Linked DNA regions of Arabidopsis thaliana. The protein of the gene in region 2 interacts with the protein of the main gene of each other region in a pairwise test. Each region holds a gene or a part of one and is shown on either strand. Other genes may lie near its edges.

Region 1 (7,421 bases), about 24 Mb from region 2:
CTACAGAGGAATGCTCGCTGCACCAAGCATGACAACAGTGTTACATGTTGACCACCAGTGGTATCTTTTTTTATTTACTATGAATTGCTTTCTACTATATGATGAAATACTCACTTCACCAGGTACGTGAAATTTCGGTTTCGCAACTCCTCCACTACTATCTCTTCTTCTTTGGAATATCTGCATTGCACAACAAAATTTTATATCCTCCTAAATAGATAAACAGATACCTCTTCTATGTATTCAAAGGCAATGTAGAATGATCCCTTTTCCAACAAAGTGATATTCGTATCCAAGAAAATGAACATGAAAAACAAACAGATGCCTCATCTCGCACAAATGGGTGCTTCCGAGTGGCAACTTTTTTCCATGTACATTGATATTTCCTTTACTTTTACCAACCCTAAAACGAGGTAGTACAGCTAACATACCTCCACGGAAAATCATCTTCACAAAAGCGAGATATTCCATTCATCGCACCAAAAGTGTCTATGTGAACCCACTCTTCCCCAGCTACATTTGCAGGATGGCCTGAGAACCATGGAAGGCACCAAGTCAATTAATCATATTGTAGGCAAATTATCAACCAGAGGTAGATAGACACCACAAAACAAACGCTGACCAGCAGATGTTTCTTGTTTGATAGCCAAGTCAATGCTGCTGCATTAATAACAAACCCCAATAACAGAATAAGTCACTCACCAATCTGATGCAAGCGCTTTAAAGCATAGCCGCTAGGATAATTGTAGTAAGATGCCATGAATGTTACAACCGTGCACCCTGCACTATAGAACCAGGTTTAGTAGACTAGCAAATCTCTTTCCTTCTCTTACATAGCAAAGATAATTGTTTACTATTTCTACCTGATTGCAAAAAACGCTAGCATAACCATATTCACCAGTTTCCAAATCGTTTTCTTCCTATTATTGTAGCTGTACAACAAAATCGGATTATATTAAGAGGTCGGCCCGCATTGGTAGTAATTTAAAGTGGCATACAGAAATTATGTGTATCCAAACTCCAAAGAGCTCTTAAGATACAGAATCAAAGAACGTCCTAGCTATGATTGAAAGCTTAGCTAGCAAACATCTGATAGAACTCATACATTCTGCTAGCAGCAACTGCAGCAGACAAGTTGAACATTGGCACTGAACTAATGATAAATCGGAGTTCCTTCATAAATCAAGAAAGATAGGTAAGCCGATGTCAGAAAATGGTTAAGAAACGTTGATGGCTACTGAGATAAGTAATCCATCTGAATACCTTGTGTGGAAGTTTAGAGTATAGTATAACGAACGATAAAACTGGAACTATAAAGAATGGAACCCTTCTGTCAACTAAAGTACCAAGCTGCATAAAAAGAAACCAAATAAGAAAATTTGTAGAGATACAATTAGCGATCCTAACTAGAAAGGAACAAGACAAACACTATCACAGATGTTAGGAAGTCTGGTATTTACCAATGAAAGTGGATAAGCTACAAGTAAAGACCGTGGGAGTGCTGAGGTGAAGTACCAATGTATGGAATGTGTCTAGTTTAGCAACTAATTTTCAAGGACAACACATCATTTCATACAAATGCAAGTGCCACAATATTAAACTTTGAATTGGAAATTCCAAACGGTTATCATTGTACAGAACGCAATCCTTTAATCAGGCAGTAGAAAAATGCTAGAACATTATGCATCATATGAAAAATAAATCAATTGAGGAAACAATTTTTTTGAAGGATACACCCCAATCAGAACTCCGGTTTAGAATGGAGTTAAACCAGAAAACTTCAAATTCTGGCCAGACAAACTTCTTCCACATGATAGAGTCAACGAAAATGGTAAGACCTGTGCTAAGGATTATTCCATGACCACAGAAAATAGACTCGGGAATTAGTGTCTGAAGGGAAAAAGCAAAATAGATCACAGAAAGAAGAGGAATTTTAACCAACCTACGGCCAACAGAGCGGTTCCAACACAATACTTAAGTGCTTTCCAGAAGGAGATCGATTTGGTCTGTCATTGACAAACATAAAGCACCCGCATCAGATGGAACGGTAAAGTATACGGCCAATTATACATATACAGAAGTTGAGAACCCAAACTATTTAATATTCGTCACCAGCTCACCAATAAAAGTTCAAGACCAATAGGCCCAAGCAGTAACATCGTATCGCATCTGAAGATTACAGTGGCAAAAATCTGATTATCGGATAACAGAGATGTCAGCAAACCCCATAGTTCTGGATAGCATGACCGATTTTCTAAATCTATAATCGAGAAAATATGTCACCACAAAGATAATACATACCAGGAAACTCAAAGCTGGATAAAAATTTCCCTTTAACCAATTACCATATGCCAGATTGACTGCAAAATCAAAATTTAAAAACATAAGCAGAACCTAGTAAGGCCTACGCTAGATGGGTCATGGGAAAGATTGCTAGGACATCTGAAGGACCACTACTAGTAGAGTAAGATGAATAGAAGTAATTACCTAATCCCAAAGCTAGAATATTAGGAAGAGGACGAGTGCAGTAGAAAAGAAAATGAAACTGAAGACTGGTGAAAAGTACAAAGAAAGTTTCCACTTGATTTCCAAACTTTTTTTTTATCTGACAAACCAGTAGATTTTGGTCAGTGGCAGTATATAGGAGAAAAACAGCCAACAAGATGCATGTAAGAGATCCCAATTCCAAGGACATGGGAAGGGACAAAGAATCAGATAGGGGAGTCAGAAGTGTGGTATGGAAAGAAGCACTAAAGGAACTTCATACCTGAATCCGGAAAAATCTTAGTGTGGACAATATGATGCAGCCCAACACCAAACGAGCTGCAAGACAAAATGATAAAACTATGATGTGAATTGGTTTTGTCTGTGTTTAGGGGAAAATAGTTAGCGATTCATTAAGGAATTATATAGGGAGGGAGAAACAGAAGAGAAACCTGCAACAAGGCTATAAACCTTGGGGAAGCCAAGGCAGCTGATAATTGATACAACAGGTGATGCAAAAACAGAGACTATGAAGGCTCCTGCAAGAACAAATCAGAGTGGAATAAAAAAAAAACCATCCACTAATGTATAATGATAAAAAAAAAACCATCAACAGGTGATGCAAAAACAGAGAGCGAAATTCAACAGCCCTCCTTACCAATAAAAGTTCGAGGGACAACACCGGGGAACTCCAAATGATCATACTGATAGGAAAAAAATAAAAAGACAGAAGTCGGTAAAAATTGACATCACTCTAGAGATAAAAAAAAAAAGAGTAAAGCTTCAGAGAAGAAGTAAAAAGAGAGGTCACTCACAGAGTCCAAATGATGGCGATGGTAAAGAATGTCGTGCATTGACTTGAGACGAGTGAAACGGTTTCAGTAAAACGGAGAAAGAGTGTGACTCTAAATACTTTGAAAACCTACCTGAACGTTGAAGCTCTCTTCCACCTTAGTATATGGTGCCATGACCACATAGATTGCAGCTACAGATCCCAGAATCAAATCATATCCTGCTCCCACCAATCGAAAGTTTCAGTTATATAAAAAAAGAAAAAGAGATCATCTGGCCGCCTAAGAAGACGAAACGAAGAAATTACCATAGGATTGAAGAAACTTGGCCATTTTCGAATCCGTCGGCATCGTCTCTGTATCGGGGAATCGGAAATCAGGCAGCCCGGATACACACACAATTTCGATGGAAACAGAAAAACTAAAACTGGGCCTTAACTTTTCGGGTTACAAATGGGTTCTGGCCCAATATGTAAGCCCATTACCTTTTTTCTTTTGCGGGGACGGACTTAAAGAAGGGCAAAGGACACGGAGAGGTAATCTCGATCTCGAGAAAGAAAGAAAAAAAGAGAAGGCATGGCCGCGGAAGAAGCGACGGAGTTCTACCTGAGATACTATGTCGGTCACAAAGGGAAATTTGGACACGAGTTCCTGGAGTTCGAGTTTAGAGAGGACGGTAAGCTCCGTTACGCCAATAACTCTAACTACAAGAACGATACTATTATCCGCAAGGAGGTATTTCTCACCCCCGCCGTGCTCAAGGAATGCAAGCGTATCGTCTCCGAGAGCGAGGTCCTTTTTCTCTCTCTCTTCCGATTTGCTTCTCTCTTGTTAATTGTCCGCGTTTTGGTCAATCGACGCTATAATAGCCAATTAGGGTTTTAGTGATTTTGCTTCGATTTTTGTCGATCTAGGGCATCTTTCCTGACTAGTGTTGTAGGTTTAGAACCCTCTTCGTTGTTAATGCTATTATCTAGGAATAATGGATGATTTTGTACAACCTGACATGTGATTATTTGTCTGCGGGTAGATTCTGAAAGAAGACGATAACAATTGGCCGGAACCTGACCGTGTTGGAAAGCAAGAGCTCGAGATCGTCTTGGGTAATGAGCATATCTCATTCGCTACATCTAAGATTGGATCTCTTGTTGATTGCCAGAGCAGTAATGATCCTGAAGGACTTCGCATCTTCTACTATCTTGTTCAGGTCTCCTCTCTTTTTCTTCCACCCCTTGCCTTACCATCTTTTCTTTTACCTAATCCCTTAACTCTATTGGACTCGATTATATATTTAGGACTCTGCCTTTTAACGTATTCACTGTCTCAAACTTTAACATTTAGGGTTTGGCTGTTAACACTCATCCCTTACATGGTTCTGTAGTTTTTTTTTTTTTAGTTTCTGTATTTATTTGTGCTCTAACATATTCCTTTTGAAACTTTCATGGTTGCAGGACTTGAAATGTCTTGTTTTTTCGCTCATCTCTCTGCACTTCAAAATCAAGCCTATCTAGAGAAGAAAATCAGTTTGTGACATGTCAAGACGCGATGAATTTGTTGGGAACATGAGGACTTTGTGACTGAAGTTTGGTTGTTTTTATGTCTCTGGTTCTCTGTTTTTTTTTTTTGTTGGATTTGGGTGAAAGTGGGTATGTAAGATGTTCTACCTCAACTTTTGGTCCTTTTTTGTGTCAACATCCCATGTGAAGAACCTTTCATGAACCACAACCTATCTTCTAAAAACCATATACTTGCTGTTTTCTTATCACAAATCATTCACTCTCCCTAATGTACATCTACATATGATGCATGTTTCTTTTCCCTCAAGCCAATTTAAACTAAGGAATGTGATCTATCTAAAATACAAAGTATCAAAAACTAGCTGGATTAGTCGATAATTAGGATTGTTTCCATTCTAAAAAAACGCCCTCGGACCATTCAAACTGCTCCTCCAAAACCCGTAAATCTGGTTTTGCATTGAAGATATCAAGAGTAGCTTTTTATGAATCGGGAAGAACAATGGAGGATTCATTTGTCAGTGTCAGGCGGATTACTCACAGCCTAGACAGAGGACGCACCTGCCATTCATCCTCAGGTTAAGCACGCACTAGTCTCCTTTACCTTGTTGTAGTGTGTTGCAGAGAGTCACATGCATATTTCATCTTGTGGCAGGATCAGGTGCATGGTTAGGGCGGGGACTGGCTTGTGTTTGTGCACAGAAAAGGGATCACCACTCTCGTTATTCCTTTGATCTCACCCCTGCTCAGGCACCAACTAGCATCAGCTAGTTAGTTAGTTACCTTTTAAGATGGTCGGGGAAACATTAGTAGCTGGTTAGTTAGTTAGTTACAGCAGCTTTGGGTTAAGAGAGATAAACGCGAAGCCATATATATTGACAATTGGATGGTGTATAATTTATTGTTAGAAAACGAGTCCGCATTTGATATTCGATATTGCATTGCGTTCAAGGTGATGGATGATAAGTGGCTCACAATGCGGGATTCCTACATGGATTTTTTTTTTTTTTTTTTTACATGGATTTTAACGTAGCCTTTCTCCTCCATATAGCTTTGACTTTAAGAGATCAACTCAGTCTTCAGAGACTGAGTGTAAGTAAATTTGTGTTTGTTTGGCAGACGGTGCTGAAATCGACAAGGCATCAACTGGAGAGAGAGCTTCTACTGGAAGATGGGACCCGAGTCCAAGCCTTACCTTGTTTTAACCTCCTCCTCCAGAAAGAGTTAGAGTATATCTCCCAACTTAAAATATAGATGTCAATCAAAAAGCAAGCAACAATTGGAAAAATGAATCAAGAAGACTAGTATAGATCCAACATCTGGGAACCACAAAACAATCTCCAATTGCTGAGTGGATCGTAGGAAGGGCCAATTTACAACCCTAAACTTGTGAAAGAAGAATGAATTTTAATCTTGGCGTTATTGGGCCTCCGCTCCTCTGGACTCTGTCGGGCTTGATCCATTTTCGTTGCTGAGTGGATCGTAGGAACCCTAAACTTGTGAAAGAAGAATGAATTTTAATCTTTTGCATTATTGGGCCTTCGCTCATATTATTATTCAAGGCCCAAACACTGAATCTCCTCCTCTTGTAAATCGCGAGAGAAAATCAGAAAAGAGAGAGAGAGATCTCTGGCTCTGTATCGCTCGCTGCTCTTCCTCCCACAGATCGAAAACCATGAATCCTGAGTAGTAAGTTCCTTTCTCCATCGACACATACTTGGGTCGAAATTACCTCTGTTATATATTTGATTCTCCGGGTGGTTCCTAGGGTTTAATTAGCGTTTTGGGATTTGCAGCGACTATCTTTTCAAGCTCCTGCTTATCGGGGATTCTGGCGTAGGCAAGTCTTGTCTTCTTTTGAGATTCTCTGTAAGTTTTTTTTTTTGTCTTTTTCTTTCTCAGAGATCAAACACTGTAGCTTTCTACATTTGTTCATGTTTGTTGTTCTGCTGCAGGATGATTCTTATGTAGAAAGTTACATTAGCACTATTGGAGTCGATTTTGTAAGTTGATGTTTTCTTTTTTTTCTTCTTGCTACTGATGACGATGCTTTGATCTGACCTTTTTTTTTTTCTTATATATCTCTTGTTCAGAAAATTAGGACTGTGGAACAAGATGGCAAAACAATTAAGCTCCAAATTGTATGTAACTATTTTCACACTTGTCAAGTTAATAGCTCTACGTCTCTTTCCCTTAATTCATATTTTTCCCTCTTCACTTATTTTCAGTGGGACACTGCTGGTCAAGAACGGTTCAGGACTATTACTAGCAGTTACTACCGTGGGGCACATGGAATTATTGTAAGCAACATCTTATCTAGGTTCTTTCTGTTGACTCCTTTAAGTTTATGTCCTAATTTAGTTCTTGCACCTGGTAGATTGTCTACGATGTCACAGATGAAGAAAGCTTCAATAATGTCAAGCAATGGTTGAGTGAAATTGATCGTTATGCTAGTGACAATGTCAACAAACTCCTTGTTGGAAACAAGTCTGATCTTACTGAAAACAGAGCCATTCCTTATGAAACTGCCAAGGTATATATATGCCACTTGAACCAATTCTTTCTTCTCAAGTTTTGAAAATCATCAAACTCTAAGGCTATTATTACTTTCCTGATTACTTCGAAACATTCA
Region 2 (9,217 bases):
CAATGAATCATCCTATATATAAAATAGTTTTACTAAACAATTATATTTTAGTCACTCGTTAACAAACAATCAAAATCGCTATATAAAGAACTCCGATTGGATGTAAACAAATCATCATAAACTTGTTCTCTTCCAGAAGAAACTAAAAACAAAAATGGCATTGCAAAAGTTTCCTCTCATGGGGCTGCTTTTGCTCCTAACCATCCTCGTCTCTGTGACAACAGCGGTTGATGATCCTGTTTGCCCGGCGACTTCCAAGCTAAGCCGAGCAAGTTTCCCTAATGGGTTTTTGTTTGGCACGGCTACTGCTGCGTTTCAGGTACAACAGATTTACTAAATCATAGTTCAAAAAACAAAAAGTAGTGTCGTTATTGTGTTTCTATCTGAATTCAAATCCATATTTTTAAAATATGGTTTTTTTTTATGTAAAAGTTGCTCAAAATATGTTATACCTATCATTTGAAATCATTTGTGCATGTGATATTCCTCAACTCATCAACTATTTTTTGTTATGTCATTAGGTCGAAGGTGCAATTAATGAAACTTGTCGTGGACCGGCTCTATGGGATATCTACTGTAGAAGAAATCCAGGTGAGTGTACTCGTATAATCTACATTCTCAATACAGTATGTTTAAATATTAAATTAAATTTAACTAATTAATATCAATACATAGCCATTAATTTTCTTAATTACTTTCAAATTACAGAGAGATGTAGTGGCGACCACGCCGATGTGGCCGTTGATTTCTTCCATCGTTATAAGGTATATATTAATATAAATTTAAGACAAACATAACTTATATTCTCGAGATGTTATTGAAATTTTGCCTTGTCTTAAAAATGTTTGTAGGAAGATATTCAGCTAATGAAGAATCTAAACACAGATGCATTCAGACTCTCAATCGCATGGTCAAGAATATTTCCTCGTGAGTATATGTCTGCAGATCTCTAGTTTGATTTTGTTTTAATCGAATTTGGTGAAATTAGATTTATGTGATTGTTATATAATACTAATAACCAATGAATTTAGATGATGTATATGTGAATGTTGAAGTATCAATAACTAATGAAACAAACTGTAATGCTTTATTAGATGGGAGAAAGGAGAAGGGAGTGAGTCAAGCTGGTGTGCAATTCTACCACGAGCTCATCGATGAACTCCTTAAAAATGGTTATATACATATAAAATACCTAGTTCACAAAAATACAAGTAATATAGTATCCTTATTTAACATTTCTTTCTATTTTACGTCATAAATAGGTATAGTTCCGTTTGTGACTGTTTTCCATTGGGACACTCCACAAGATTTGGAAGACGAATATGGCGGTTTCTTAAGCCAAAACATTGTGTATGTTTTTGTAAATTAAACAAAATACATTTAGTTAAGTTTATATGGAAATTATTAATTTGGTATCTTTTTTTTTTGCAAAAATACAGGAAAGATTTTCGAGAATATGCAGATTATGTTTTCACTGAATACGGTGGAAAAGTGAAAAACTGGATCACTTTCAACGAGCCATGGGTCTTTGCTCACGCAGGTTACGACTTAGGAAAGAAAGCACCAGGACGTTGTTCTCGCTACGTTCCAGGTTGCGAAGACCGAGAGGGACAATCTGGTAAAGAGGCTTATCTAGTCAGTCACAATCTCCTCAACGCTCACGCAGAAGCTGTTGAAGTTTTCCGCCAAAAGGTAGTTTACATTAGATATAAATCATAATTAATTATCAGGTCACATTAGATATAAATCACAATTAATTATCAGGTTTCGAATCTTAAAATAGGTTGTTTTGTGTTGTGTTTATGGACATAGGTTAAAGGTGGGAAAATCGGAATCGCACATAGTCCGGCTTGGTTCGAACCACATGATCTTAAAGATTCAAATGACGCTCCAACTGTTAGCCGTGTACTTGACTTTATGTTGGGATGGTAAGTATATATTATGTTAGAAAATGGTTTCTCGTATATAATTTCATAAAAATTAATGTAGTTATTAATTTTGTGTAGGCATCTGGAGCCAACTACTTCGGGAGATTATCCACAAATCATGAAAGACCTTCTTGGTTACAGATTGCCTCAATTTACTGCTGCACAAAAAGCAAAATTGAAAGATTCGACCGATTTCGTAGGGCTTAACTACTATACTTCGACATTTTCAAATTATAATGAGAAGCCAGATCCGTCTAAACCAAGTTGGAAGCAAGATTCTCTTGTTTCCTGGGAACGTAAGTTTTTTTTTGTTTTCCGTACATGAAACCAAACCAAGAAACTAAAGATAAAAGGTTTTATAATACTAATTGATATGCATACATTTTCACTTTTTATTTTTCAGCTAAGAATGTAGATCACAGCGCCATTGGTAGCATGGTAAGCGTTTGATTAAACTAGTCCTAGTTTGTGATTGTTAATTTTTGTCTACGACATAACATTTTCACCATTGCTTTATTTCAGCCTCTTACTGCTGCATTGCCCGTCTACGCTAAAGGATTTAGAAAGCTTTTAAAGTACATCAAGGACAAATACGCAAACCCGGAGATTATGATAATGGAAAATGGTAACTCGAGATTTATTGTTATATTTGTGTGTTGATTTAATCTTAACTCTTAAGAGTAATATACTGATCATTATAATGTTGTTTTTTCTAGGATATGGAGATAAACTTGGGACCACAGATTCGGTTGACGTTGGTACTGCTGATCATAACAGGAAATATTATCTTCAGAGGCATCTTCTGGCTATGAACGAGGCTATTTGGTAAGCCTTTTATTATTTGATAGATTGACTAACGATTCTATTGAATGGTCTAATTAAGAACATAATTGTGTTTGTGCAGCATCGATAAGGTGAGAGTTACGGGATACTTTGTATGGTCATTGTTGGATAACTTCGAATGGCAAGATGGTTACAAAAACAGATTCGGACTCTATTACGTCGATTTCAAAAATAACCTCACACGTTATGAGAAAGAATCAGCCAAGTATTACAAAGATTTCCTCGCTCAAGGTGTTCGTCCATCCGCACTCAAGAGGGATGAGCTTTAAGTTATATTTTGAGGATTTCGTTTTCTATTCGATGTTTTTCCTATGTTTTAGTTTGTGATTGACCACGCACGATTCATGAGTCGTGGTTAATAATAATAAAAGTGTTTCGTTTTCCTTCAATCTCTAGCTTATTCGACAAGATCAAGAAGGCTTTAGTTTTAATGACGTTATCCTTTTTGAGAATCAATATGTGAAGTTAAATATGTTTTACCTTCCAAACTTGAAGAAAAATTGAATCATACAACCTTAACATTAAAAAATTTATGAGTTACAAAATGATGTAAGAAAATATCATTAGTTTTAGAAAATTAAAAATACGAATTTACCTCTATACATAGAAATAGATTAGGAAATAATTTGACGTCGTCTTAACAACTAAGTACAAACATTTCAAAAACTAACAACTTAAACGTTGGCGATGAAATAAACAATGGCAATTCATTTTCCCAAACAGTTCTAATATTTTATTTTTGAAAGTCACTAGTTTAGATTAAAAAACAGGACGACCAGCAAGAGAAGATATCTCTTTTTCACTCATTTGGCCAAGCGTATTTTCTATATACCTTAAGGAAATAAAATCCATGCATGATGCAACCAAATAAATCCACCATGCAATACCAACATCATTCATTACTTTGGAAATTCATATTTCATTCTTAGCAAGCAAAAAAAAACAAAAAAAAACAATCAAACGTATGTGTTAATAATGAAATCATCACATTCTATCTTACTAGTAGTCACTTATCAAAAACGATTTATGTAAATAGTGATTTTCAAGATTTTTTTTTTAAAAGCAAAAAATTTAAAGGCCAACTCACTTTCAGACTGTTTCTTTTGTAAAATTGAGAATTCTTGGAGCATCTCCTATCAGTACTGTAGCTGATTCATTACTTATTTTCGTGCTTTTGATATGTGAGTGAGTGAACTAGAGTCGTAGATTGATAGCTTTGAAGCTGAGTTGGAAGGATTGTCTGTCAAAAAAGGAAAGACAAGACCTACCAAATTGGTAAGATTTGAAATATATGCATATACTGTAATTTATGCTCTGTAGTGAGTCATGTCTTTTGGTTTGTTTTTCTCTTTAACACTCATCTTTAGACATCTATTACAAGGCACAAGGATCACATAATAAAATTGGAACTGATCTTGAGCCACAAAGGATCATATACACTTTCTTTTAAAGAACCCTACTTGGAGAACCTACCATGGAAAGATAACAAAATTAATAAATCTTTCCAAAAAAAAATAAAACAAAAAAATAGTGAGAGTCTATAGAAGGTTCTCACCACTGGACATAATCTTAAACTGCATATGCAAATATAGGTTTGATCAAGATTTGTTTTTCAGGAGTACCAAAAAGGTTCCGTAGGAATGATAGATTGATAGATTCTTACATATACACAATAAAAAAAAAAAAAAAAAATTGTAGTATCAACATATCAATTAGAAAAACAACTGGGGCATTTTTGATATCTTCGAAAAGTATAATCCTTATCTTATAAACTATTTTTAACTAAACGCGGAAACGCATAGCTGGCAATCTTCCCTTACGGTTTTTTGGTAATTGTCTACTTTTGATAAGAGACGCAAAACGCCCCCCCTAAATCGAGAAAAGTTACATAATTACCCTGCTGACCTAGTCCTATATAAAAAAAGATACCTTCTCCTCTCCATTAACCAGTAATCTCAATCACAAACTATTTCCCCCCCTTCGTTCATCAAATCCTCAAGAGAAAAAAAAAATCCCCAAAAGCTTCCTCAAAACCCTAACACAGATCTCTCGATCTTCTCCGATCTGTCTTTTCTCCTAATCTGGTAACGTTTCGATTCTCGATTCATCTGGTTTCGCGTATAATGTTTCCGATTGATTTCACTTTTTCGATTACGAATCTAGATCTAGGGCTTTGATCTATGTTTCTGAGATGCGATTACGAGTTTCCGTCTAAAATTTTGCAGTGATTCGTGTTTTCTCGATATCGCTTATGAGAATTGTTTTCTAGGTTTTAGGAATCTATTGGTTCATATGTTCCGATAATCAGATCTTTGAATTCGAGCAGTGGATATGATTCACCGTCCTTGATTTGTGTATTTGAGCTTGAATTTTATAATTATTGCTTGATCTCCTTCGATTTTGATGGCGTGTGTTGTCATTGTGTTGGTGGTAGCTAATTGTAATTTTCTAAACTCCAATTTGTTCAGGTTTAGTTTGATTTTATTGGATTGAAGATGTCAGACGCTTTGAATATGACTCTTGATGAAATTGTGAAGAAGAGTAAGAGTGAAAGGTCTGCAGCTGCAAGGTCTGGAGGTAAAGGAGTTTCCCGTAAGAGTGGACGTGGACGTGGTGGACCTAATGGTGTTGTAGGAGGTGGAAGAGGAGGTGGACCTGTTCGTAGAGGTCCTCTTGCTGTTAATACTCGGCCATCATCATCCTTCTCCATAAACAAGGCAAGCTCGAAATCTTGATTGGAACTCTGTGCCACCAAATACCGAAGCATGCTAAAACTTAAGATGGATGATCTTTTAATGCTCTTTTGTCCTTGGAGAAGAATCATACATGCATATACCGTTACTTCTGATGATGATTCAGATTACAAGAATCTTCTAACATCTTCTTAGAAAAGCTTCTTTCCTGCAATTAGTGGTTTTTATGGTTAAAATCTGGGAACTTCAAGAGGCATGAATAGATGTGCAGAAGTTTTCGGTTGATATTGTCACTCGCTATAGGTTTATTGAGGAGCTCCTTTAAGCTAAGTAGTCCACATAGGGTTATCTACAGGGGGATAAAGCCTGAAAATGTGTGTGGTTTTAGGGGGAATTTCAGAAATTTTAACAGTAAATAGGATTTATGATGGGTTATCAAAGTGGGGGTATTTGCACTATGCATGAAGTTCACGATGGTACATCTGGAATTTCTTCGGAGTGTGACGGCAGTCTCAGTTTTCGTTTTTGGCTTCAGAGACTGACTGATAACACCAGTATGATTCATATGAAGTTAGTCAAATTTACTTGTTTCCCTACGTTTCATTTGGTATCTCCTTGGATGGTTCTTGACTACTTCTTCCTGGAGCTCTTTGCTTTAGTACTTTCAGCCAAATGGGTGTTTTCTCCTCTTTCAAGAAATTTGTTGATTAATGTGGCTTCAAGATTCTACAGACCCTTTTAGCTGACTTGATATGTTCTACTGGATCAGCTTGCCCGCAGGAAGAGGAGCTTGCCATGGCAGAATCAGAATGATTTGTATGAAGAAACCCTTAGAGCTGTTGGGGTATCAGGAGTGGAAGTCGGAACCACAGTTTATATTACCAACCTTGATCAGGGAGTGACAAATGAAGATATAAGGGTATAGCCTGACATCTATGTTCCAGTGCTTCTGTTGTTTTGGTTCTGTGGAGTTTTCTGAAATTGGTTTGTACTATCATATGGAATCTAGGAACTCTATGCTGAAATTGGAGAGCTGAAAAGATATGCAATTCACTATGACAAAAATGGGCGTCCAAGTGTAAGTTCTGTTTTCTTTTTGCTATGGTTTATCTGTTCATTACCGTGTTTCTGTAATATTTGATATCTGATGTTCTGTGTCATACAGGGATCGGCTGAAGTTGTGTATATGAGAAGAAGTGATGCAATTCAAGCTATGAGGAAATACAATAATGTACTTTTGGATGGAAGGCCTATGAAACTGGAGATTCTGGGTGGAAATACTGAATCTGCTCCTGTCGCAGCTCGTGTTAATGTGACTGGATTGAATGGAAGGATGAAGAGGAGTGTCTTCATTGGGTATGTTGCCGGTCTGTTTTTTTTTTACAAGAGAATAGTTTTGAGTTTATGTGCTGAAGTGAATGTATCACTGATTATTGCAGACAAGGAGTTAGAGGTGGGAGAGTAGGAAGAGGAAGAGGTTCAGGTCCTTCTGGGAGACGCCTTCCACTGTAAGTGTTCAAGAGTCTGATCTCGTTGTCATTCATGTGGGCTGATCATGCATTGGTTTTATCATCTTATCTTATCATATTGTTTATTTATGACAGCCAACAAAACCAACAAGGTGGTGTGACAGCTGGTCGAGGCGGGTTCCGTGGTAGAGGCCGGGGTAATGGTGGTGGCAGAGGGAATAAAAGCGGTGGGCGAGGTGGAAAGAAGCCAGTGGAGAAGTCTGCTGCGGATCTCGACAAAGATCTCGAAAGCTATCATGCTGAAGCTATGAACATCTCTTAAACAGAAGCAAGACTTCGCATCTTGTCATGTACTTTTGTGTTCTTTATTCTTAGTCTCTGACTAAATATGTGGCAAAGTCTGGTTTGGTTTAATTACGTTTAGGATGGCTCTACTCTGCTTTTATTTTCCTCTTTTCTTGTTTCACACTTTCACAGTCACTTTTGGTTATTGAAGTTAAAAGAGATTTAGCTGTAAATGAGAAAGCTGTTATTGTTAGTTGGTTGAATCTAATAATATACGAAAAAATCTTTTAGTCAATTGTGAATTTTATCTACAGAAACCCTAAACTTCACTTTCTGAGTAACGGATCAAAAACGAACAATGGGATAAAAAAGACCATTAGAATGTTATCTTGGTTTTTGTTGTGTACAAAATCGAATCCAACACAATCGGCCTCAATTCTAACTCCAATCCCACCTAAGAAAGTTAAAAAAACTTCTCGGAACAGAAACTAACATTGTTATGTCCCAAAGATTTCTCACAAGATATTAGCAACGTTCAAAATCATTACTGTCAAGATACTCCATATACCCCGACTGTAATACAAATCACTCCGTATTCCAGAAGAAGTTGTTGAGTTTGCCGATGGCGCTGTTATGTTCACAGACGTCCCGTTTCTACCATTACCGCGGCTGCAATCGAGGTAAAATAAACAACCATTAAAAATTTATACAATATGAGTGTTTCATTTGGACTAACTGATCTGATACTAAAAAAAACTTAACACAATTAACATGAAGTCATTCTTTTTAATCCGAAAAACCAAATCAATACATTTCCTAATCGAAACCAAGAATGAACATATCTACCAACAAAAGAGTATAAGGAAACAGAATAATTTACCTCCCAGCAAACACACATGTACCATGACCTGCATTGAAACAACCAAGCAAGAAAAAATTAGCTTTTTTACTAATTAACGGTAAAAAACAGTATTACACAATGCAATGTATAATCAAAAAAGGCTTTTTATGTTTCTTACTTGGATCTGTGGTAGTGATACTAGCAACACCATTGAAGTTGCAAGCATCAGGATTATTCCCAGTCTGATGATAATAAGTATCAAACGCGTAGTTAGCATGCGCGACGACATTATCCGGTTCATAACAAGTCTCTCCTTGCTTAATAGGCGAACAATCAATCTTTCCAGGACCACAAGCCCAATCAAGAGCAGCTTGAAGCATCTTTGTATCAGCACCTTCTCTTGCAGTACAATAAGTCTGGTTCGTTGTATCGTTAGCTAGAACCGAGCCCGAGTTAGTCAACCGAAGTACGTAAACCGGTTCACCATTTGCATTAAACAACCCCCAATTCTTCTCTGATAAACCTGCTTTTGTATCTTCATTGTAAAGCTCGTAAATATAAGTACTCACAGCGATCCCCGGGCGTTTCGGAGTTCCGGTCTTGTTAAGAACATGTCTAATGAGATTACTGTTGTAAGTGTTGGCGTTGTCAAGTGTAGCATCAGGCTCATTGGTTTCTCCTTTCGAAGGCCAGCCTGATTCGGTTACTAAAACCGGAATGTTTGTGAAGTTGAGGAACGCCATAGCGAAGTACGTTGCATCAACCATTGCATCAAAAGCGTTTGAGTAACGAACAAGAGTGTTTGCATCAACAGCTTCTTTGTTTGGAGGTATCGGTTTGAACAACGCGTAGTCTAACGGAATCACACCGTTTGATTGCATATAGTCAATGTATGGATACACATTCACCATCAGGTATGAGTTTGTTGACTGCAAGAAGCTTAGTAACGGAACTATAACCGCATTCAAAGAACGGTTAAAGAACGCTTGCGATGGAGGAAAAGGATCAAGAATCAAGGAAGTTGATAAAGGAGTAGAAACTTTTATCAACTTGTCAAGATTCGCCGAGAGTAAAGCAGCATGAACGTTCTTTATAGCACTGACTAGAACAGGTGCTGCATTAGAGAGACTGGTTAGCACCTCAGAGCCAACAGAAACC
Region 3 (8,123 bases), 5.6 Mb from region 2:
CGAGAGAATCAAGAAGCGTGGACTTGCCGGATCCGGAAGGACCCATAATGGCCATAATCCGACCTGGTTCAGCATGACCGTTTAATCCATCGAGCAATCTTCGAGTCGGACCACCACTAAAGTTTGGTATAACCACCGTCAAATCTTCCCACGCCAAGTACGCCCCACGGCCAATCTCTGCCGGTGGCGGCGGACGTCGGCCATTGCTCGTACTCTCTAACTCCATTGTTTTTGTTTGATCTTGAAAAAGATCAAAACCTTACTTATTAGAGAGAGAGAGAGAAAGAGAGAGTTTTGTTTGTTCTTCGTCTAGGTTATTTTTATTATATTGGTTGGAGATGGAATTATAAAGATAGTGATTAATTTTTGTAGGCCTAAGGTTTTCTTTAGGTGAGACTTGAGAGCAACAATCAACAAACAACTAATTACATTTAATGGATGGCTTTAATATCATAACCATATATAGATACACGTCTATAGTATATAGTTTTTTTTATTTTCTTGCACATTAAATGTAAGAGAGTGAGAGTTGTGTGAATGAGGTCTAATATTTATACAATCGTCCATGTGTAGTAGTAACTAGTAAGCAACCACCTACTTATTGACATACTATTATACGTATGAAATATATTTTTTATGTCGGTTCTTGCCAACTAACAAGAAATTTCGTCCACACAGAAATCAAATGATATTTTTGTGAAATGAAATTTAACAGTGTGATTATTTACGATGAGATGTTTTCATTTAGTTCGAAATGAATAGAAACATCACAAATCAATTAAAGGATCCATATTTGGTTGTCTACTAATTCCAAGGGATTGATAGTGATACTTTGACAAATTTATCGTTTTGTTCACACATAGAATTATATAATTATCATTGTATTAGTTTTTGTAACTATAAGCAAGAGAAGTGATATTCGATAATTAATGAAGAAGATATATAAAATTAAGTTTGAAAAATCGTGTTTGGTTGAACATGTAAAATCAAGAGACTTGATAATTGATAAGTTTGAATGACATAAAGAGGTAGAGAACCCTCGCAACGAGTCTTCACAGGTGTTAAATGAAAAGGGAAAGGAATTAAATGTGTGGTAGTTGGAACCGATATAGTTTTTTTTTTGTATTATGCTTCATTATTTCTTTTTGGTCTATCCGTCCATTTATTATCTTCATGATTTTATGGTTATCTTTAGCTTTTTAGCTTTAGTATAGCGCTATGTCTAACCACATTTTTAAGCATTGTTTAGTATTTAACACAACCCTAAGTTATAGACTTCTTACTATTTATATCTAGTAGGTTTATTGGTTCTTTTTAAACGAGTAAACTGATACTAAACAAAAGTACCTAAGATTTCACAAAGTTTTGGTATAAAAAGAAAACAAAAAGAAACAAGATTTCCAGAAAAGAGATAGAAACCCAGATTCTAAATTCAACAGAATCTAAGGTATGGTCTTATAAGCCTTTGGCACCATCATTAACAAGAATACAAAACTGTTTTTTTTTTGTTGGAATCATGTAAAAGCATATCATTTTTTTTGTTGGTGACAACAAAAGCAGAACTTATATAACTGTTCCAACTGTTTCATATTTATACTTTTCAGCTGTAAGTTAGTATATGAGAGCCCTTAAAATAGATGGATACATAAACATAATGTGGGACTGGCTCAATGCACAAAGTATAGATGATTGATTCGTACAAATGAAATCATGCAACCTGTGAGTAGCAAGAAAGTACATGCTCTATCTCAAATCATCAAACCTTTGATGATTTCTTTTAACATATTTAGGATACGAATAGTTACGCCTATAAAAACAAACGATGTGAATATTGCCATTGATTGGAAAATTTCAGCCAAAATATTTAATAGTCATTTGATGATTTCTGTTAACATATTTAGGTTACCAATAGTTACGCCTAGAATAATAAACCAGTGTGAAATAATGCCATTGGTTGAAAATTCTTTGATTTTTTCTATATAATCATATTTGGTTTTCTAGTGTAATGGAAGGTCTTTGATTTTCAAATTCTGTCTGACCTAAATATGAATCAATAAGAGAATGAAAATTAAAACATTCTTCCTCATCCAATGTTTCTCTTCTTTTACCAATACAAAGCATTAAAACAGATCTCATGGTGTTTAAACGCAACAATCCCATGCAAATGCATAAAGAGATAAACCAATGCAAAAGCAGCCAAACCCTACAAAAACCCCAGAAAAAAATTTGTTCAACACTCAGCGTCTTGCATCAGTACCTTACAGATAAGAGAGGGAATCCCTAATACAGAGAGATATGGGGAGAACTCTCCACCAAATCATACAATCAGTAACGTCTTCTCGGACTTCTTGAACGTTGCGACCTCCCATACCTGTAAAACCCCAATGATCAATGGATGATGATTTAAAGAAAGGTATAACTACTTGACAAGTCACAAGTGATTTCGATTCATTAGCATAAAGACAGTAAAGTTTGGTAGGTGCTTAGTACAATATACTACCTTGTCAACTGTTAAAACTTCTAAGTCTATATCTTAATTGATACTTTTTGACACTCTTGACTTCATATCGGCACAAGATCAGACAAGTCGTAGCGGAACAGAAAAGAGATTAGGATACAAACCTCGAGTTCTTTCTCCTGTAAGATTCACCACCACTGGGACCGCTGCTGAAGGCCCAGTCAACGCTAACATTCTGTGTTAGAAGCTCAGCACCATTCATTGCTGAAATAGCGCTCTGTGCTTCTTCCTTCTTCTCATATTCTATCAAAGCATATCCCTTATCAAAAAAAACAAAAGCAAAGTGTTACTTCCACTTCCATGAGAACTCAAGCAAACTAAAGAAAAATAATATTTGATTCCTAAACTCGCATCTAGAAGACAGCTTATCTTATTCGACCCGTCATTTCTGACACTTTGAAGTAACTTAAACGAAGTGTCCTTAGGGAACAGCATTGCACTTTACAGAATATTACATCTCCCTCTTAAAAGCAATGTAACATTGCAAAGATAAATTTATCATTTTTGGCTCTCAATTTCAGATATTCAGTATTACATTGATTAACACAAAGCATGTCAAAGAGTAAAGTCAACATCTACGACAAAACAGTATTGCATTCATCTCTAAATTACATCATGACAACAATCCAACAAATCAAGCTTCACTATAACAAACCAAAAGGCAAAATGATATCAACATAACTAAGCAAAAAAATTAGCTTCACAATAACTAACCAAAAGGCATAATGACATCAAGAGCCACTAAGAAACAAAGGCAAAACTCCATACCTTGACATAACCACTACGGCGATCGAGATTGAGATTTAGATTCTTAATCTCCCCAAAATCACCAAAAGCATTGGTTATATCCTCCTCCTGTGTCTCCTCATGAACTCCAGAGACCAAGATAATCCATCCTTCAACGGCTACACATAAACACACACAACAAACAAATTCATCCAAAACAGTCCCAATTCTTCATTACCCTCAAAGAAACTATGTTCTATCTTCACAGACTCTAGAACCATTACATTTTTTATAATGGTTACAAACTAAATCTAAACCAATCTAATTTTTTTCAAAAAACTTCTAGGTCAAATTGAATCCCAAACACAAGGGGTTATGAGAAACCCTAGAACAAATTACTACCACAAATAAATCAACAACGCGAAGAATCAGTATGCCAACACTAAAACCTAACTAAAAACAGCGAAAGAGGAAGAGATTTAGTGAAATTACATCTCTGCGGACCAGGACGGCCATCTGAACCAAGTGATTCGAAATCGCGTGAGGAAAGACGACGCTGACGATCGGAATCTTTCTCCTCGCGAAACCCACGGCCTTTGGTCTTCTTTGCTGATTCGCCATTAGCTCCGGCAATAGCCGACTTAAGCCTCGGATGTCCCGCGCGTGGAGAAACATCAGCTCCGTCAATAGCTGTACCTTCTTCGTCCATAAGGTCATCCTCCTCTGGCTCGAAATCGACTGCTTCTGATTCTATGTTCGCCATGACTTCCGCCGCCGTAAGATTTCCGATAGATCTCTTCCCGTTTCGCCGACTGATTTTTTGTTTCCTTTGTTTTTGGGGACGGAGCTCTTTCTTCTATCAAGATATTTCTCTGCCAGTGTTGTTTATAGGAATATATTGGACCTTAAGTGGGCTTATTTTGGGCTTTTACGCTTGTATTTCTTTCTCACGCTAGTTTTTCCTTTTCCCTTTTAAACAGGCTTTGATTAAACTCCTCTCGTCAATGTTAGTGGGCTTATTTTGGGCTCTTACTTTTTTTATTTATTCTTTCACGCTTCAGAGTAAGCTAAGCCTTTGATTTTTTAGGTTTCTTACAAAACAGGCTTAAGCCTTTGATGAAAACTTCTCTTGTTAATGTTACATTATCTGAATTTCATATGTCGAGAGTGAATCATGGCATACCTTTTTAAGCATTCATGATGTCAAATTATTGTATCACTTCATAATTAGGATACTATCAATCATATTGTGGTATTTAACACTTTACAGTCGATACTGGTCCATCTCTTTGATGGTGATCATCATTGTTTTATCCGTTTGCATACAATCATTATAGTCGAATATTGCTTTCTAATTCCCACTCTAATCTCAAATAAATCTCGTCCAACATGTTCGACCAAATTCTAAGAAAGAAAACATAGAGAGATGCAAAGCATTTAAAGAAAACAAATCTTAGTTCGTCGCCAATAATTACTTACGTCATTTAGAGGAGGGGAGAGCATTAATTTGGAAAACATTTATTGTCTGGTTCTGTTGACTAAAGTAGTACAAAACTCTGGTCAATTTACGACAACTATTTAACAACACACGTGTCCTTAAAGAAGCTATATCGACCGTTGATATAATATCTAAAGATAATCTTAACGGGTAGGATTTGGAAATGAAGTAACCGAAGACCGTACACTCGTTACAGTGTTGAGGAAAAATTAATGTCATGCGCGAGTTTTGGTGTGACGGGGAAAAGAACAGCTGCCTGACAAAATTTTGTTTTATGGGATGGGATAGGGTAATTGTTGTCGATGAGCCCTATACTAAAAATAGTAGACTTCACAGTTCAAGTGACCGTTTGTCTTTAGCTGGCCCGGTCATGAGAGTTAAGGGCAAAAAATATTTTACGGGCAGGTCCTAATATTTATAGAGTATACTTTTTCTTTACGGGCAGGTCCTAAGATTTATATAATCTATACATCACAATGCTAGTTTTCACTTAGCTATGTTCAGGGATAAGCCTGGCCCTTATTCATTTGGTTTTGTTTTTTGATAGAGTTTTTGACCTCATTTTTCCCCTTTTACTTGCAGGTTGTAACGCCAAAGAGTTTGGGAGAAAAAAAAAATTAAATCCACCAAACAGTTGTAATTATCAATTTTGTTGGAACCAAGTGATTCCCATTACTATAGGTGAAGAAACTAAAATCTTTATTAGTATAGAGTATAGAAAGTGGCAGACCAAGAATTTCTTTTTTTTTTTGGGGTCAAATAATTTAGTTAACTAAAAAATTACTTTATATAAATTATTTTAACTAAATAATTTAATTATCTCCAATAATCTTTTACTGCAAATATAAATTGTTCTTCTAACAAATCAATCTAATAAACAAAAAAACAAAAACGAAAACAATGTATTGAAAAAGCTACTTTATCCATGAAAAAGGGAATACATAGTGTTGATACCTACTAAAATCTGTTACTACAATCTTTTTAAAATCTGTTAATGCTCTTAATTTGCCAAAATAATCAGGTCAATATATATGATTTCTTTCCATTCTAATCTCGCTCTTTACGAAACTTGAATATCCCTAAAAATCGATAACAGTTTCAAAGAACAATAAAAACAAAAAAGGTTCGATTTTTAAAAAAAATTGTTTTTTTTGCTAAATGCTTTTTACAAAGACAAAATCATACAAAATTCTAAAAGAAACATACATTTATGATTTAACGCAAACCCAAAAAGAGCCTTCACCTTTTTTCTCTTCGTCTTCTTCACCATCTTGTGGGGAAAAACAAAACTTCTCCGGCCATGGATCCTGGCGACCCAACTTCAATAATCTTTTCAAAGATCAGAACTTTCGAACTTGAGAACGCTTCCAGAGTCATTGACTATTTTCTCTTGCAAGACATGGAACAAAGAGATTTGATTCGAATTGCTTTTGGTCCTGACTCTCTCATACAGACTTTCTGTCAGAAAGCTAAAGTCGATTTAGGTTTTTCCTCGAACGGTTTCTCGAGACCCATCAATATCCATGGCCAGTCATTGTCCTCGTCTTCTCCCAGAAATGGGTTCTTAGAGTTCTCGAGAAACCCTAGTAACCCTTTGTCTTCTTCGTTAACTTTGAACACACTCAGAGATAATAAGCCTAACTTCAATTCTAGTCCTTTTCGTGAAAGTTCATCACTTTTTGCCTCTTCTTCCGGCGATGAGCAGCAGCAACAACAATTCAGTAACAACTTTCTGTTCACAAACGACGAGGACCCATTTGCCAATTCTCACAAGAGGAGTTTCTCTGCTAACGATGCTTGTTTTGAGTCAGAGGAACCATGGTTTGGAGGAGGAAATGGTTGTCATCAATTTCCACAAGGCGGTTTAGTTGATGGTTTTGGTTCCTCTGGTGTCTTTGGATCGCCGAGTGAGATGGATTACATGCTTGAGGGGATGATGAGGATGAAGTTAGCTCAGCAAAAGAGCATGGTTGCTGCTCAGTTTATGGCGGCTTGTGGCTCTCCAATGTTGCATAGGTAAGTTTGGGATTTTTTGTTTTCTTTCTCTGTGTATGTTCTGTTAGGAAAGACTTAAACTTTACACAACAAGAGTAGTAGCATTTTAGCTTGAGGCAAGTTTTTTTAGATGGTTTTGGTTTGTTCTCTTGGTTTTGTTGTATCAAGAAGTTTTGAGCTCTGAGGCTTGGTTTTCCTCATGGTGATTGTTTCTTTGCAGACACGGATCAGGACATTTTGGAGAAGAATGTGGTAACTATTTTAGTCAAGGAAGGCATGAAAGAGAGGATTCAGTCTCTAAACAGATTTACTTGACATTTCCATCTGAAAGCTCCTTCACTGATGAAGACGTCTCAACCTATTTCAGGTAAATCATGTGTTGTGATATAATCGGGTTATAGATGTAAGGAAGGACTCTGTTTGGTGTACATTTGGATTAGGGAGTCATGTTTCTTTGTTTTGACTGTCATGTTTTTTTTTAATGTGTAGAGATTTTGGACTTGTGGATGATGTGAGGATTCCATATCAGCAGCAAAGGATGTATGGGTTTGTAACTTTTGCTAAGGCTGAAACTGTGAGAACCATATTAGCTCGTGGAAACCCTCATTTCATATGTGACTCACGTGTGCTCGTTAAACCATACAAGGAGAAAGGAAAAATCCTTCAAAAGTAATGCTTGGTCCTTGTTACTATTTATCATGTTTTTTTCTTTCTCTTGGGCGTTTTCTTATTATAGTTTGGTGAAACAATAGCAGGAGGCAGCAGCAACAACTACACGAGTTGTTGGAGAGAGGGAACTATTCACCTTCTTCAAGTCCGTCTGGAAAGGACTCGAGGGAACTATATGAATGTCGCTTAGGTTGGTTTCAATTTGTTAAAGAGACTTTAGAAAAACAATTTCTTGTTTCCTTCTTACTGAGATAGTAACTCTTCATTCTATATTCGTTACCAGGACCAAGGATGTTTTCAAAGAAGACACAGGAGATGTTGCGAAGAAAAACCGAGCAAGCTGATTTACAACATGCCATAGAAGTAGAACTCCAAAGATGAAGGTTCTTGAATCTGCAACTACCTGACATGGAGAATAAATATATTCACCATCACCACCAGCGTAGTCCTTCTATTGGTTCTCCCTCTCATTTCCCACCTCGATTCAATCATAGTCTTCTCTTTCAATCAGGAAACAACAACGAAGAAATCATGGAAGGTTGTTGTTGTTGTGCTCTCTACGTTTTAAGCTTTCTTTTTCTCGGTCTTTATTCATTCTTCTCCTCTTTTGTTATCCTTTGGTCAGGCGACAGTGATAGAAGTGAGAAAGATCTTCAACAAGTAGCAACCAGCAACGAAGAACGTGGTTACAATAACGGTTTCTACAAAGGGTAAATG

The links.
Region 1: the proteins of AT1G66260 (region 2) and MAGO interact in a two-hybrid assay, tested with the Arabidopsis thaliana proteins (one study listed by BioGRID).
Region 3: the proteins of AT1G66260 (region 2) and Y14 interact in a two-hybrid assay, tested with the Arabidopsis thaliana proteins (one study listed by BioGRID).

Annotation. Positions count from the first base shown.
Region 1 is NC_003070.9:400,832-408,252, reverse strand, and holds MAGO (mago nashi family protein), read left to right. Parts: upstream 1-3,796; 5' UTR 3,797-3,851; coding exon 3,852-4,067; intron 4,068-4,305; coding exon 4,306-4,482; intron 4,483-4,726; coding exon 4,727-4,786; 3' UTR 4,787-5,153; downstream 5,154-7,421. Other genes in the region: ALG12 (homolog of asparagine-linked glycosylation 12), read right to left, coding at 1-17, 115-180, 432-531, 703-785, 864-932, 1,106-1,173, 1,264-1,350, 1,461-1,532 and 11 more; RA-5 (RAS 5), read left to right, coding at 6,465-6,478, 6,586-6,658, 6,745-6,792, 6,883-6,930, 7,018-7,089, 7,167-7,322. UniProt on the Arabidopsis thaliana protein: Core component of the splicing-dependent multiprotein exon junction complex (EJC) deposited at splice junctions on mRNAs.
Region 2 is NC_003070.9:24,693,933-24,703,149, reverse strand, and holds AT1G66260 (RNA-binding (RRM/RBD/RNP motifs) family protein), read left to right. Parts: upstream 1-4,235; 5' UTR 4,236-4,301; intron 4,302-4,665; exon of another isoform or gene 4,666-4,773; 5' UTR 4,774-4,855; intron 4,856-5,239; 5' UTR 5,240-5,266; coding exon 5,267-5,488; intron 5,489-6,233; coding exon 6,234-6,383; intron 6,384-6,473; coding exon 6,474-6,542; intron 6,543-6,629; coding exon 6,630-6,820; intron 6,821-6,903; coding exon 6,904-6,972; intron 6,973-7,068; coding exon 7,069-7,255; 3' UTR 7,256-7,504; downstream 7,505-9,217. Other genes in the region: BGLU21 (Glycosyl hydrolase superfamily protein), read left to right, coding at 155-319, 522-591, 709-764, 852-927, 1,095-1,172, 1,263-1,350, 1,440-1,692, 1,813-1,928 and 5 more; AT1G66250 (O-Glycosyl hydrolases family 17 protein), read right to left, coding at 7,734-7,887, 8,099-8,126, 8,238-9,217. UniProt on the Arabidopsis thaliana protein: Export adapter involved in nuclear export of spliced and unspliced mRNA.
Region 3 is NC_003070.9:19,100,747-19,108,869, forward strand, and holds Y14 (RNA-binding (RRM/RBD/RNP motifs) family protein), read right to left. Parts: upstream 4,188-8,123; 5' UTR 4,008-4,187; coding exon 3,737-4,007; intron 3,424-3,736; coding exon 3,287-3,423; intron 2,778-3,286; coding exon 2,623-2,777; intron 2,372-2,622; coding exon 2,326-2,371; 3' UTR 2,045-2,325; downstream 1-2,044. Other genes in the region: ABCG12 (ABC-2 type transporter family protein), read right to left, coding at 1-226; AT1G51520 (RNA-binding (RRM/RBD/RNP motifs) family protein), read left to right, coding at 6,043-6,758, 6,958-7,104, 7,227-7,406, 7,493-7,596, 7,690-7,769, 7,848-7,944, 8,032-8,116. UniProt on the Arabidopsis thaliana protein: Core component of the splicing-dependent multiprotein exon junction complex (EJC) deposited at splice junctions on mRNAs.